Linked DNA regions of Lytechinus pictus. The main gene of each other region encodes a partner of the protein of the gene in region 2 in a complex. Links are inferred from orthologs where the notes say so. Each region holds a gene or a part of one and is shown on either strand. Other genes may lie near its edges.

The links. Proteins that work in one complex are often made in the same cells at the same time.
Region 1: coiled-coil and C2 domain-containing protein 2A-like (region 2) and B9 domain-containing protein 1-like share a complex: the UniProt entries of both Homo sapiens proteins name them as parts of the tectonic-like complex. The link is inferred for Lytechinus pictus from reciprocal best matches to the Homo sapiens genes CC2D2A and B9D1.

What each region holds. Positions count from the first base shown.
Region 1 is NC_087254.1:10,976,221-10,984,439, forward strand, and holds the start of B9 domain-containing protein 1-like, read right to left. Parts: upstream 3,771-8,219; 5' UTR 3,544-3,770; coding exon 3,484-3,543; intron 1,095-3,483; coding exon 1,026-1,094; intron 484-1,025; coding exon 372-483; intron 1-371. Other genes in the region: uncharacterized protein LOC129269100, read left to right, coding at 3,911-3,979, 4,487-4,560, 5,460-5,604, 6,437-6,493, 6,944-7,032. UniProt on the Homo sapiens protein: Component of the tectonic-like complex, a complex localized at the transition zone of primary cilia and acting as a barrier that prevents diffusion of transmembrane proteins between the cilia and plasma membranes.
Region 2 is NC_087261.1:31,142,542-31,150,741, forward strand, and holds the start of coiled-coil and C2 domain-containing protein 2A-like, read left to right. Parts: upstream 1-4,459; 5' UTR 4,460-4,881; intron 4,882-8,200. UniProt on the Homo sapiens protein: Component of the tectonic-like complex, a complex localized at the transition zone of primary cilia and acting as a barrier that prevents diffusion of transmembrane proteins between the cilia and plasma membranes.

The DNA of each region.
Region 1 (8,219 bases), on a different chromosome or scaffold from region 2:
CAAAGGGGGAGGGGAAAGAGAAAAGTAGAGGGGAGAGGAGAGATAGACTGGAAAAGAAAGAGGAAGTGGTGGGGGGGAGATAGTGGGAAGAAGAAAAGGGGGAGAGGGGTGGAGGATGATGGGAAGAGAACAGGGGAGAGGAATAAAAGAAGAGGACTGGGGGAGGAAAAGGAGAAATGAATAGAAAAGGGAAGAGAGTAAGGAGAGGCAGCAAAAAAGGAGGAAGAGGAGAGGCATGGAAGAGAAAAGAGAGAGAAGAAAATGAGGATGAGATGATGGAGAAGAGGAAGGAGAAAGATGATGAAGAAGATTAAAAACATCAACAATCCTAAAAAAAATTGTGATTCAATATTCCTATTAGTTCTACTTACAGCCATAAGGGTTAGTGCTCTTGAATGTCACATCCAGAGGAAAGTTCCACACAAAATATTGGTTTCCATAAACATTCTTCTTGCAAACTTGTGAGATACCTTCCTCAAGACCCTAAGATAAGACAAATAGACAATTAAAATAATGATTGATTTTTCTCATGATAAAAACATTACAAAATATGTACATTCGAACAATAAAAACATAATAATTGAATCAATAATATAGTGAATAGGTATATGACTGAAATACATGTATTTTACGCATTAATTTCAATATTTTTTTTATGGCGAGGGCAATTTTAAAAGGGGTCTGATGGGAAAATTGAATAGGGCATAGATATCCAAGGGCCAGAAAATGGACATTGAGGACAATCAGTAGAATATCTGAGGTCAAAGACTTAGATGACCTTCAAGGTTATTTAAGCCCTGGATATCACAATGGTATTCACATCTGTGTATTTATTGAAAATTAAATTATCAAACATCAGTATCATGTTACAGTGTACAAAATCAATAATTTTTCAAATTAATTTTTGGGAATAAAATCATGCTGATAAAAACAGTGATTACACAATTTACAAAGGGTTATGTATTGTAATGAATTGAAAGTTAAAAACAAGAAAATAATGGGAATTATTCAAACTTTGTACTTACACTTGTAATGACCCAGTCTGGACCATACACAAAGTTGTATTTGACATAGAGATCATCAAACTCTGGAAACTAAATATGAGAATTGAATTAAAAAAAGTGAGTTTTATACATGAGACCAAACTAATATTCTTTTTCAATGCAGTTCAAGCAGCTAGCATTTTAAGATTGATTCTTTAAAATAAAGATGAGATCATATAATCAAAGATCCACTACATTTAGTAGATTTCAACATAAAAGGGAATACTGTGACTATGAACACAAAAAATATTGAGATCAACATGAGATAAGGGAAGCATTCCTTTCAACCTTCCAAGCAGCACCGTCATGAGCCAGGCAATATGGATGTCTGAATTATCTAAAAGTTAGGCTATATCGTTTGAAAACTATTCCAACAGAAATCTCTGTGATGATGTGGCCTTCCAAATCCACTCACTGCAAAGGACACTTAAATATAAACACCCCTTCCCAATATCACACAAGAATTATCAATACATGTATGGAGAGTGGGGTAATAAGGCCACCTGTTAGTTTTTAGCTCACTGCTCAAGAATGGGAGGGTCAAATGGATTACAAGTTTCATAATTGGCGATTTAGAGCCAGTAACATTTTCCTCACACATACATGTATTAATTCACTGCCAATTCCAATGCAGTTTGCGATGTTTTGGAATCGGCAGAGAATTAATACCAATTTTGTGACTGATAGAAGCATGGAAAAGAAGTGAAACTTTGTGAAAAGTAAGAATATTAGTTTCCATTGTTTTAAAAGATCGTGTTGTTGCATGAATTTTATATTTCCCCCCATAAAATCCACCTTTGTCACTCGGAGTATCAGAGTTCACCACTTTGATGTTCAGGTAGGTGTAGCGTAGTGTAGCGGTAGTGAAGTGGAGCCCAGCTAAACGAACATCACTTGAGGTATGCTGGGGCATGAAACTCTACTCTAGCTACCAACATTAACCTTCCTCAAACTAAGGCTGAATCCTTCTTCATTTCACGTTTGGTCAAGTCTCCACATTTACTTTCCTTTCTTTGTGGTTTGTCTTTGACTTTTACTTTAGTTCATGATGAAAATTGAAATTCTATTCATATCCCCTTCCCTCCTCTTCTTCTTTCTCTCTCCTCTCCATCTTCCAGTTTAACAAAGTTAAGTTTTATTTACATATGGGCCATTCCCTGCTTTTGGGAACTGGTCACCAAATCAAATTTGTACCTCCTTTCACCACGATATGTAAAGAAACTTCGCTTCGGCGATTTTGAAAAAATGGATGCGAGAGGCTTTTTTTACGGTGCAAAACTCCTCACACAACTGGTTATCTCTTTCCTCATGCGATATTTATCAGGCTCAGATTGCATGTGGGTGGACAAGTATTCAGATGACATCGATTCCGCGGAATCATAATTTTTGTAATTATATCCATCTACCCCGCATTTCCGTGCTCTTCAAGACCACTCTGCCACTTTCACAATGTTGACATAAAAAATGATTACAAAATCGATTCACTAAATAAATCACAAACAAGATATATATGGGGATGAATCACTTTAATACACTCTATCCATTTTCACATCACGAGTAGATAAAGACAGTTTACTAGTGAAATTTATGTCATCAGAATCATCACTGACGAAATAAATCTCATTGGCAATCTCTCTTTATATCTACTCTTCAAAATAGGAACCCCTTAAGAAAATTCTACTGAATTATACATGCTGGTTCCCATTTTCACGAGTAGATAAAGACAGATTAGTGAGATATATTTTGACAGAATCACCACTAACGAAATAAATCTCATTGGCAATCTATATCTACTCTTCAAAATGGGAACCAGCTATGGAAAATTCTCCTGGATTGTGCTGGTTCCCATTTTCACGAGTAGATAAAGACAGTTTACTAGAGAAAATCATCTCGTCAGAATCATCACTGACGAAATAAATCTCATTAATAATCTGTCTTTATCTACTCGCTGAAATGGGAACCAGCGTGTACAATTCTATGGACAATTTTCCACGCTGGTTCCCATTATAGCGAGTAGAGAAAAGACAGCGACAAAATAAATCAAGCTCTTTGAAGGATTAGAATTTTTAGAATCAGTGCGCCAGCAGCGGTGAAGCAGTGTGCATGTGCAAGCTCGAAAAGGTCATGACATGTCTTGTCATGAAAAAGTGTCTGGTGGAAATTAGGAACTGCTTCCCAATTTCACGATAATGCCTACATGTGTATCATATAATAATGTGCACATGTTAATTCATAGCCAGTTAGTATCTCCATTACTCCAAGACAACGCAAAACATCAAGTCAATCTTTAGCGACTACCCTTAAATACACATTCAAACAAGACTACAAGAATCAGAATGAATCTAAGTATCAAATCGGTTTGTCCACCAAGGCACCATTCTCTCTAAATGAGTTTATTTGATTCATATCATGACTACAGTTTTCAGAGCATAATACTCACATCTCCTCCTTCAATCTGACCGCTCATCATGAGCAAAAATACTGTTGGAGTAGAAGCCATCTCATCATCTTTTTCGCTCAGCTAGCTCAGTTTCAGACTCACTCTTTCTTATCTTCCTTCACAACTATTCAGATTGTAGCACGATTTGGTGTTACAAACTAAGGTGATTAGAGGTATCTTCTACGTATCATTAGCTTGTGAGAAAGTATACCAATCTTGTTAATGTTATTGATACCGCGACGTGATTAGCAGCTGGATCATTCCGGCGCACAGCATCAGTGGCTTACGGGGGACCGCGGGCCGCGCCGGGTGGGCCGGGCCGGGGGAGCGAGCTAGCTAGCGTTGAGCTGCGCTGGTACTGTGCTTCCCGGTCGCGTCGTCGGAGTTCGGAGTAAATTTAGGTTTCCAAGCGAAGAGCTGTTACAAGATGCGCATTTCACCTGTTCTTCTATTCATTATGTGGTTTGGGTCATGGAGGACTTGTGCAGGAAAGTTGGTATGAATAATCTGTTCTAAACTTAATCATATTGTCTGCGTGTTTTCGACTTTTCGTAAATTTCTATGAACGACAACGTATTAACTTGTTACTTAGTCAAGTAGTAGTAATGGCCATGGGGTGTTGCAAGAAACTTGCGATCAATTGCAAGTCAATCCTAATCACATGTCTTGCAGTTAATTGCAAATTAGTGATTGATTGCTAATTTGTTCCTTGAAACAAGAAGTTTAATCTGATTTGCTATAGTATACTATAGCTAACGTTGATGTATCAGTTGTAAAACTGCAACAGAATATTTGCGATTGATTGCAAATATTTTCTTGCAACACCCCCTTAAGAAAAAGTAGATTTCACAATTTTGACGATTCTGAAATCTGCTGTAACTTAGTAAGGGTTAGGCCCTACTAAAAATACTATTGGCCAGCAAAGAAGAAGAAAAATGTACTTTAAACAAATAAGAAATATTAAATATGATCATATGATTTTTACTCTATTATTGTCATCTAGATACTTGCTGATGTGACAAGCAACAAGCTTACGAGGCAACACGATGGCAGCCTTGGTTTATGGTCTTTTCATGGGTAATTTCTTCTTTTAATTAGTTTTAAGATTTAGGTCACAATATACCTGACTTACAGGGGGAAAAATACACAAGGAAGGGGGCGATTTCACCCCAAAATACTCAAAAGAGCCCTGAAAAATTAGCTCCTGAAAAAAAAAAAATAATAATAATTTGTTGCCTGCTGATTTATTATATGGTGGAAGGGAGTAAGTGGCTCGGAAAACAATTTGGGAATGGATACAAAATGAAGATATGCATTTTTCAAAAGAAAGTGTTCTGTTATTTTTGTCACTAATTGAAGTCTTTTGCTTTTTTATATATTTTTTTAAATGTTTTTTCTTTTGTAATTTCTGTTGTAGGATCGAAATTGCCCTTCATTGAATGAAGCTATTTCTTTTTCTGATTACTGTCCTTGTCTATTGAATATGATCATATCCTGTATGCTCATGCCCTGCATTTATTTGCAAATATAATTTTATATTTTAATATGTCAAACTGGAATCAAGTATTTTAATTGCACCAGTTTACTTTAGAGTGAAATTTTCAGTCTAAAGTTGTTTCACTGTACTACTATGCCTTGCTTCATTGCACCTCCTTGCATTAGGAAGACAGAGTAAAAAGTTCACAAATTGTTTGATAACCTCACTCTCAACTAACAGATCTAGCTGTCTACATTGAATGTTAGTATTATGCAGTGTTCATACTCTTGACCAGGGCCCAATTTCATAAGACTTGTTACAAAAACGAATTTGCAATTTACAGTTTAAAGCAACTGAAATCATTCAATTTGATGACTGATACATGTAGTCAACTTGTAATAGAAATTGTGCCATTGTTATTATAACAACTCTTTATGAAACAAGACATATTATCCTTAATAGTAATACTACTCTTTTTTTCATCTTGTATTTAATACAGAGTTGCAAAGAAAAGTCATGCTAGCAAGACACATTTCATCTACAATGCTGACCTTTTGACCTCTGATGGCTCGCATCATATAGACATAGCATCTTCGGTATATCCGAGCTTGGGTCTTACTTCTGATCATGATCCTATTTACCAGGTGAGCTCATCAAGGGAGCATTTCATGGAACAAGTAGTCAGTGATTATCTCTGGCTATTTGTTATAAGTTACTGAAATCCTTGCATTTGATTGGCTCAGAGCTAATTTGTTAGTAAAAAAGTTTTTCATGAAACTGCCCTAATAAAATAAATCATAAATCAAGTATTTCTTCTTTTATTTCTTGAATGTTATTAGGAACTTATACTAGTTGATAACAGTAATATACATTTGTGTGATTCATTGTTTATGAAAATATCATGTATTTATGGTTATGGCTCCTGTCATTTTGTAATTTAGTTTAAAAATGAAAGGGTTATTAGCTTTATTGAAAAGTTGCTGTTATTATCACCCTTTTCCCCACTAGCATACCTACTGAAGGGGGGGGGAGGGGGGGGGGGGTAGAGACTGCCCTCGCTTACCAAAATAGTGTAAATAATCCCCTCTCGCAATCCAAATGAGAAAAAAAAAAGAGACAAAGTTGGGGGGGGGGTTGTCTTTTGCACCTGGGGAGCGTTTCATCAATATTTTCATCCGACAAGTTGTCAGATCTGACATCTTTCCATGATTTTGATTGGCAGAGAGGCACTGTTCCTATGGTAACTGTCGGATAAAATGGGACTTGTCGGATAAAACGTCCGACAAGTCCTTTCATGAAACGCCCCCCATGCAGGTCTTCCCTGATGCATTTTTTCAGGTATACAACAGTGTATGTCCTACTGCTATGTGAAGTTTCATTTTGATGACCCTACCTTATCCCTCCCCGGCCCCTATTAATCACCTATTGAATACCATACATAAAGTAACAAGAGTTGTAATTTAATCCAATTTCCAGGAATATCTCATTCTCCAAGCCAAGGTTGTGGGCATGGATGGTTTCATGATTGAGTGGGTAAGTTCATGAAAAAGAGCTCTGTTGATGTGTTAAATTGGCACAGAGAGCTGAACATACTATCTGAATAAATAAACTAAAATTAGCCAAGAAAACTAATATTTTTGTTCATCAAAATGGCAAAAGGCAAAAGGGCATTTATTTTAACCTGAAGCCTTCAAATATTTGGAAGATCATGAAGGCCGTTTCTGAGGGTATCAGAAGCCATGACCTTGGATTAATTTAAGCCCCTTCGTTGATTATGTGGTATTGACGTTTTTGTTTCCATTATTATTCGTAACAGATAATTCAGATACAGTGTAAAAGAATTGCTGTAGAGGTTTCACAATAAGCCATTTTGTAATTAGATATCTTATTTTGGAATGGATGGTGGGGGGGGGGGTACTTCATGCATTTTGGTAGAGGAAAATATTATGTTTTTAGGTATATTTTTCTTCTATTTTTTTGAAGGGATACCAGAATCATTCAAGTGATGAAGCTCTGAAGAGTTATCTCACCCTAACCCAGAACAACGCTCCTTTTCAGCTTGCTGTAAATTGGTAGGTGTATATTTTTAATGATAAAGCCTCTTTCAAGCATAAAAATCTGAACATTCTTGATTTGTACTTTCAGTTGAATCTCTTGAATCTCAGATGAAATGAAAGATAACAGATTTTTTCTTTCTGCGTCCTTTTTGGGGAGAAATATACTGAGCACTTTGCAGGTGCGAAATAGAATTTAAAAAAAAACCATAATCCTTATTGTAGCTCTTTCAAACAATAGTAAGACATATGATAGTATTACAGAAAGAGTGATATTTGCTTAATCTGATTTAATTCTCTATTTGTCACATTGATGGGCCTTTTATAATCAGTCTTTAGTATTGCCTCTAAAGATATTGTTGAGAATTGAAAATACGTCATTAACAAGATTTTTGAAAAATAAATTGTTGAGATTAGAAACTTAAAAGGGTATTGGTGTTTGTTATTAAAAGCCTTAACCTGTCAATTATGTCAATTCATCAGCTCAATTCATGATTTATGAAGAAAAAAAATTGGGACAATGATTTCCCTTTCAAAAAATTGGCCTTTTCCTTTCCTTGGAACCTATACCGTAATTCCATTTTAAACTTAACATAAAATGGAACTGCTGTATTGTCAGAGAAAATGTACACAGCAAAAACCTGAATTCCATTTTGTGAAGGTAAATTCAATGAATTTTTCTGGGGTTTTTTTTGTATTTTTTTCAACGAGACAAATATATTGTATTTGAGCATTTAAAGGTACCATACCTGACTAGCTTTCATTCTATTTTCTGGTTCCTATTATCCTGTAAACTATTCTATTTCATTATGTCTTGTAGTGAAAATTGAATTGCACATGTTTTTAATATCAAACCAAGTTTATATCATTGGAAGAAATAATTTATACATTTGATATTTCATATTTAAAATACAAAAGAAACATAGAGTGTGGACATTCATTCATTCATTTATTTATTCATTTTTCCAACAAAATTTATAATGCAATAATTACAATAAATAAAACATAACAGCAGAAAATATAAATGACATAAATATTCAAATAAACCGAATATAAAGAATATACACCTGGTACAGAAGATAATATTTCCAATTTGATAATAACAATATGCAAGATATGTTGGAAAAATGGTTTATCATGTGCATACCACCTTTAATGTATAACTGTTTTATGAAAATAATACTTTAAAATATCATAATTTTCTC
Region 2 (8,200 bases):
AAATATTTTCAGCTCGCGCTTCGCGATCACATTTTGATTTTCATGATAAAAAATATATTTAGAATGCCCAGACACTATATTCAATCACCAAAATTGGGCGTTTTACTCAGTACCAACTTTTTATGGAGCATGGAGGAAAAGAAAACATTTACCAACGAGCTGTTTATCCATCCATATTGTCATCTAATTTGCATAAATTATGTATAGATTATGCATGAATTATCATATATTATTCAAATTCGAACATAAAATGGTTCATTTTCCCAGTTTATACCTGATTCCCAATTAAAATTGTGGCACAACTAAAATTAACGTTCATTATGACATGAAGAGAAAAGCAAATACAGATAGAACAGTTTGTTGGGTAGAACTATACAACTTTTCATATTATGCTAATTACAATTAGTATAATTATAAAGTTCAAGTTGTATCAACTAAATTTATTCTCCTAGCATATTCATGGGGATTATAACTTACAAACGTTGGGCCCACATTAAAAGAAAATTTTAGAGTTTCCTAAACGCTGCGATGCCACAGTTAGCAAAACAACTTTTATATTTACGAAACCTCTTCTGCTCTTGGAAATATTAGAGAAAGACAGAAAAGGGCATTAATGTAGTTTTAATATTGATATATTTTTTGTTCTGGTTTCTGTGAATGCTTATTTTTTTAAGCCATGTTTTAGTCAAACGCGTTACTTACAAACGATGTAAGTTAAGGAACCTGCACTGCAAACATTCTTGTTTATGCTTAGTTCCTACTTTGTACTATTATTATTATTATTATTAATGTAACATTATATTCTGTCAATTTATTTCTTGTTATGCATGGAGAAAATAAAACATTGCTATGCATGTTACATGCAATGACGTTATGGGAATCAAAGCCTAACCCTATTTGGAGCCGCTAGAAGGTACTCCCCACCCCTTTTTCAATATCAGAGTGATATAATTTTTATTTGAAATTATCATTATCATTTCCACTGATCTTTTGAAAAAAAAAGACAGAAGATACATTGTTCTAAAGATTGCATTAAAAGACGTCCTTGTACATTGAAGCCTATATACCCTATACTATTTTACAGAGCTTGTCAAAGTAGCCCCATCACTTTCCTTTGACTCTATTAGTCTGTTTAAAATGTCCTTTTAATAACGCCCCTTTCTGTAAAAGGGGCGCTTTAGCGGAATATTAAATCAGCTTCTATTTTCATTAATTTCCTAAGATAAAGGACGCATAAAGATTAAATGAAGAGAAATCCTAAAAATTAAAGTCTATCCCCATCGAAACCTATAAAAAGTATGAACATGTTTTTTGGGAAAGGGTGACTATGCGTGCTGCAGCGTTTTGAAGATTTTGGAGTTTGGACAACTGGGTGTTGGGTAAATTCAAATTGTAAAGCAAGGCATTCTCGAAATCAAGTCGTGAAGACATCAGTGCATGAACTAATTTTTTATTGATCGCACTTAATAAAGAGCTGAGATTTTTCATTATTATTACTTTGAGTGTCATGAAAAGAGGATTTTAAGTAGTTTGTTGTATAATCAATATTGAGACATACATAACTCGCCAATCAAAATGCGAGCGTGCAGTGCTAGCTGATACGTTTTGACAATCAGACCTGAAAAGGGTATTTTTAAAACTTTATGGAATACACGAAAATCATAGGTACCTGATAAATCAAAATTTGCGCGCGCGCAGCGCGAGCAGAAATGTTAATATTCAGATAAAAAACCTGACATTTTTACAGAGCACTTTTTAAACATCAATATTCACACAAAATAATGAAAGTTCGATTTCCGAGGTAGAATATGTTTTGTAAATTGACTTCCAAACTTGATATTCAAACTCCATATTGAACAAAATATGAAAATCACCTAACAGGCAATGCGAAGCGCGAGCGAAAATTTTATATAGCTATAGTGACATGAAAGAGATCTTTTTATTTTCCAAGTCTTCCCCTCATCTTATTTTATTCCCTCGTCTTCCTCCTCTTCTTTTTTCTTATCTCTTTCCCCCCTTTTTTTTTCTTTCCCTTTTCCCCTTTTTTTACTCCGCCAATAGGGGGGGGGGGGGCCGGGCCCCTCGGCCCCCTGGATCCGCCTATGAGAATGATCAAAGTACCACAAAGTCCTGCAAGTTCTGCCACTCCGTTTTTGTTATACATTTTGTTGGAGGATGCCCAGCATTTAGCCAGCGGCGTAACAGGGGTTGGTGGCCAGGGGGGGGGGGGGGGGGGGGGGGGGCAAGAGCCAAAAATTTCCCGGTCATATCATGGTATGAACAGGCGGAATGGTGTAATAAGGCGGCGATTTTGAGAGGGCCAGATATTGCGTATCGGACAGAATTTATCTTTTAAAAAAAGTTGCGAGCGAGCAAAATTTGACATTTTTAATGCAAAATTTTTTTAATGCAAAAGATTTTGACATAAAATCTTCCATTCATTTGTTTTTGTGGTCTGTACGCCACTGTGAACAGGATTATTTGCAGCAGTAGCGAACGTGATAAAGTAAAAAAACGATGCATGGGCGCAGTATATGGCGCATGTGCTAAAAAGCTGCTTAATATAAGCCCCGAGCGAGCGAAGCGATAATCTAACTTGGAGATATTTTTTGACATTATATTCAGTAAATAAAATCATATCCTACAAGTTCAAGTTCAAGTTTAAGTTTATTCAAACCAATCAAAACAAGAGACATATTACACAGTTTAACAAAAATTAGAATATATGATAGGTTTGGGACCCCAAAGAAGCAGAGCTTGTGAGAGGGGCCCCTTGTAAAGTACATTACAACAGTAATGAGATGAAAAAAATATTTACAATGATAATGTAGAGTAAATAAGAAAAATACATACAAAACACACACACACACATGGTTTATCAAGAATCAATTTAAGATATTTTGTAATCTTTCAAATAAATATTTTCGACATGAATTTTCAAATATGGGCAGTGTTGGACTGGATCGAAAGTTTTGTGGTAACTTATTCCATTCTTTTGTACAAACTATCACAAAAGAATTCAAAGCAGTATTTGTTCTTGTAAGTGGTTGGTGGATAAGATTTTTCTGCCGTGTATTGTACAAATGTACATTTGAATTAACAACAAATGCATTTTTAAAAAATGAACAGCTTTGAGAGGATAGTGATTTGTACATAAATATCAAACAATTGAAGGAGACAAAATCACCAGGAGGCAAAATCTTCAATTGCAGAAATAGAGGAATACTTGGACATCTGTAATTCGAATATGTTATGAGCCTCATAACTTTCTTCTGAAGAACTAGCAGTTTGTTTAAATGGTTCCTATATGTCATACACTTTTCCTTTTCTCTTTTGCTTTTCTATCCTCCTTTTTTTTTTCTTGGTTGTAGAAGTTTTGGGGACCATGGCCCAATTAACCCTTCCATATTCATATACGGCAGTGCTATGCGGTTGGGGTCCAGGGCAGAGCCCCCGGAACTTCTTGATATCACAGCCATTTAAACTTCGCAGATTGCCGCTATTTTAGATCAAATCGCGGGTATATACAGAATATAGCTTTTACACAACACATTTATTCAACCCAGTTGAACCAAATATTTTGAGGGGGCAAAACATAGCAATGTGGGGAAATTGGTAAAAAGTCGCCAGCTAGCAAAGCGAGCTGGAAAAAAAATGCCCAATGAAATTAAATTCTGTGATAGATTTTCCATTATATTCAGCAAATAACAACTTTCATTGTTTCCATTCATTTCATTATAGTTGTCTCCTATAATTTCTTTTATTTCCTTTTGGGTGTGGAACCAAGACACCCCCCCGCGCCTGTACGCCAGTGATTGAAGCTTAGTAAAGTATAATGTATGAAGGGTCCCTACAGGGCCGGGGGGGGGGGGGCGTTATAGAGCCATTTGAAAGTTACAGATGAAGAACCCCTACTGCGTGGGGTCTCCGGGGGCAATTAAAGCCCCCGGTAGCTTATTTGCAAAAAAATAAGCAAGATAGCACAATTTTGTATGCAATTCACTCTTTCTTCCCGCTCTTTACTTTCAATCCTCGGCAGCCAGGTCGTGTTATTAATATTTTTCTTGTCCGGCCCTTTTCTTTGTTTTCCAATTTAGCTTTTGACTTATTCCATTCTACCTTCACTTCCCGCTATTGTTTGCCATTTTGTCATCTTTTAATTTATTTCCCATCATGCTATTGCATTACTTTTATATGCCTATTTCAGGGATGTTCTTCTTTCGTTCCTTTCCCGCTTTCCTAATTCCTTTTCCATTAAAAAAAAAATCGCTTCGTTTTCTTTTCACTTTTCCATTTCCCTTTCCTTTTCCTCCTTCCCCTTTCCCTTTGTTTCTCCCTCCCTCTTCCTTTTCCCCGTTTTTTTATTTTCCGGGTGAAATCTGCCAGGAGGGGGGGGGGGGCAGCTTGCCCCCCTGCCCCCCGCCTGTTACGCCACTGCATTTAGCACAGACAGGAAAACACTTCTAAACTTAAAAGAAGACAAGGAACTGCAATATTTTTCTGAGCATTTAATGATCAAGAACCTCAACAATTTACCATTTCCGTCCTGTTTCTACCTGACGTCGAATTAACAGATTCCTCCAAAAACGACCTAAACCGACTTGTTTTAAATTCTTTCATAAGATTCACCTCTCTCACGTCAAAATATGAAATATGAAATGCTAATGATGCAGTATTAAACTGCGGATCTCCGATACAGCGGAGGAAGGATACAGAAGAAGAAGAGGATACCTGCCGATATATATATCCGAACAGCGGATCGGAGGAACTGAACGAGAGCTAGAGCTAGAGGGGGAGATGAGAGAGAAGTGCGGCGCAACGGAGGAATTTCGAGAATCAACAGAGATTCAGATCGTGGTTGAATCAAGATCGAAGGCGATGGTATGTCATTATTTACGAATCAGTAGATGGCTAGTTTTTGAGTAGGAGATTAAGTTCTGCTAAAAAATCGAAATCATCCACAAAACCATGGCATGAGTTTACATTTTACGCTAAAAAACTTGAACGTTAAGGTTAGACTTGGCGCCGGCGATCGCGACGACGTAAACAAATTTCCTACGTTGTCCCACCTATATATTTCTGTGATGTGATGGTGAAGCTAGCCAGGAGGCTCCAACTTCCCACCCACGGCTACATCTCAGCCGGCAGCCGCCGACTACAGAATAATTGAAGGCATGGCGCATTCAACAAATAACGTTAATTTACGAAAAATTAATACGAGGACTTACAGAACACTCACACAACATGCGAGGTTAGTAATACTAACCTCGACCTCGCACAACGCATGTCATTTCATATTATCATAGGCCTAGGCCTAATGAATTTTGACGTTTTCATTCATCACACGAATGTGAGAATATGAAACATGCCTAAATCTTCAATATACTAAATTTAGTCATCTTAATCTTATAATGTAATCTAATTTGGCTTAACTGCAGAATACCCCGACACTGCTCACTACCCAATCGTTGGTCAGCCAACACAACGATGTCAAGACCTATAGCTATATACTAATTCAATGGTATATAGCCTAGATATACCCATACTATTATATACGTACATGCATTACTGGTACTACTACTACTACTATACTACGTACGTACGTACGTATGACGGTACGTACGAGCAATGCATCCAGGCCATACGTAATGACCTTTGCCCTTTGACTACTACTAGAGCTATAATTAAACATCGTTGGGTGCGCTGCTAGCCAACGACCCACGTTGTGACGGTACGGACGGTGCAATATAATATTCAAAACATCGTTGGCTAACCAACGACCCACGATGTGAAGGTGCAATAGTACAAGATTAATACACTCTTTTAAATTACCTACTACTACTAGCTATTGCTATACATCGTTGGGTGCGCCGCTAGCCAACGACCAACGATGTGACCGTGCAATGCAACATTCAAAACATCGTTGGCAAGCGTTTCAAGGTATGGTTTCACAAAACAGTTTAATATATGCATATCCTGGTTAGTGAGGTGATCGATGTCATTCACTCTCTATTTCTTTTGTATTTTTTATACATGAAATATTTTCATTTTTTCTTCATTAAAATATGAAATAAAGTTTTAATTCCCATTGAAGGAATTCAATGGGAATTGAATTCAATGGGAATTGAATTCAATTAGGGTTAGGGTTAGGGTTAGGGTTAGGGTTTAGGGTTAGGGTTAGGGTTAGGGTTAGGGTTAGGGTTAGGGTTAGGGTTAGGGTTAGGGTTAGGGTTAGGGTTTAGGGTTAGGGTTAGGGTTTAGGGTTAGGGTTAGGGTTAGGGTTAGGGTTTAGGGTTAGGGTTAGGGTTAGGGTTAGGGTTAGGGTTAGGGTTAGGGTTAGGGTTATATTCACATCGTTGGCATCGCCGGCAATGTTGGCCTCTACAACAGGCATATTCACATCGTTGGCATCGCCGGCAATGTTGGCCTATGTAAGATACATTCACATCGTTGGCACTGTTGGCATCTACTACAGGCACCAACACATCGTTGGCATCGCGGGCGCTGTTGGTATATACATACTAAACATACATTCACATCGTTGGCATCGCCGGCAAAGTTGGCCTATACTTACTAAAGATACATTCACATCGTTGGCATCGCCGGCAATGTTGGCCTCTACTACAGGCATATTCACATCGTTGGCATCGCCGGCAATGTTGGCCTATGTAAGATACATTCACATCGTTGGCACTGTTGGCATCTACTACAGGCACCAACACATCGTTGGCATCGCGGGCGCTGTTGGTATATACATACTAAACATACGTTCACATCGTTGGCATCGCCGGCAAAGTTGGCCTATACTTACTAAAGATACATTCACATCGTTGGCATCGATGGCAAGGTTGGCCTGTACTACAGACACCAACACATCGTTGGCATCCTGGCCGGCGCTGTTGGCCTATACGTACTAAAGATACATTTACATTGTTGGCATCGTTGGCACTGTTGGCATCTACTACAGGCACCAACACATCGTTGGCATCGCGGGCGCTGTTGGCCTATACATACAAAAGATACATTCACATCGTTGGCATCGCGGGCAAGGTTGGCCTATACTACAGACACCAACACATCGTTGGCATCCTGGCCGGCGCTGTTGGCCTATACGTACTAAAGATACATTTACATTGTTGGCATCGTTGGCACTGTTGGCATCTACTACAGGCACCAACACATCGTTGGCATCGCGGGCGCTGTTGGCCTATACCTACTAAGGATACATTCACATCGTTGGCATCGAGGGCAATGTTAGCCTGTACTCTACAGTACAGACACCAACACATCGTTGGCATCGCGGGCAATGTTGGTCTACATAGGAAACTACAGATATGATCGCATCGTTGGCATCGCGGGCACTGTTGGCATGTACTACAGACACCAACACATCGTTGCCATGGCGGGCAATGTTGGTTTACATAGGCAACTACAGATATGATCGCATCGTTGGCATCGAGGGCAATGTTGGCCTGTACTACAGACACCAACACATCGTTGGCATCGCGGGCAATGTTGGTCTACACATACTACGGAAATATACACATCGTTGGCATCGCGGACACTGTTGGTCTACATACTACAGAACACAGATATAGATCGTTGGCATCGAGGGCAGTGTTGGCCTGTACCGACTACAGACACCAACACACCGCTACCATTGCGGACTGTGTTGGCCTACACGTACTACGAAAATATACACATCGTTGGCATCGCGGGCAATGTCGGCCTACATATTACAGATGCACACAGATATATATACACATCGTTGGCATCGCGGACTGTGTTGGCCTACACGTACTACGAAAATATACACATCGTTGGCATCGCGGACACTGTTGGTCTACATACTAATCGCGCGCGCTCGCATCGTTAGCGTTACAGTGCAGTCTGAACACTTAGAATCTATTAAAAAAATACTTGTAAGTTGTAAATCATTCAATTATTTATTATAGCTGATTTTCTGATTTGATAGCTTAAGTACATCGTTGTGCGTTGGCTCTCCAACGATAAGGTAACGCAGTGTCCGGGTATTCTGCAGTTGTTCCTCTAATTTAAAAAATCAGCACGAACGTATCTATAAAAATGGATTTTAAACGCTTACCTCCAAATCTCAGCCAGTTATACTCCGTCCGATCCTTAATACTGCGGTGGAAATTACGCAAACAACAATCAAAATGCGAATTTTTCCTATCGAACA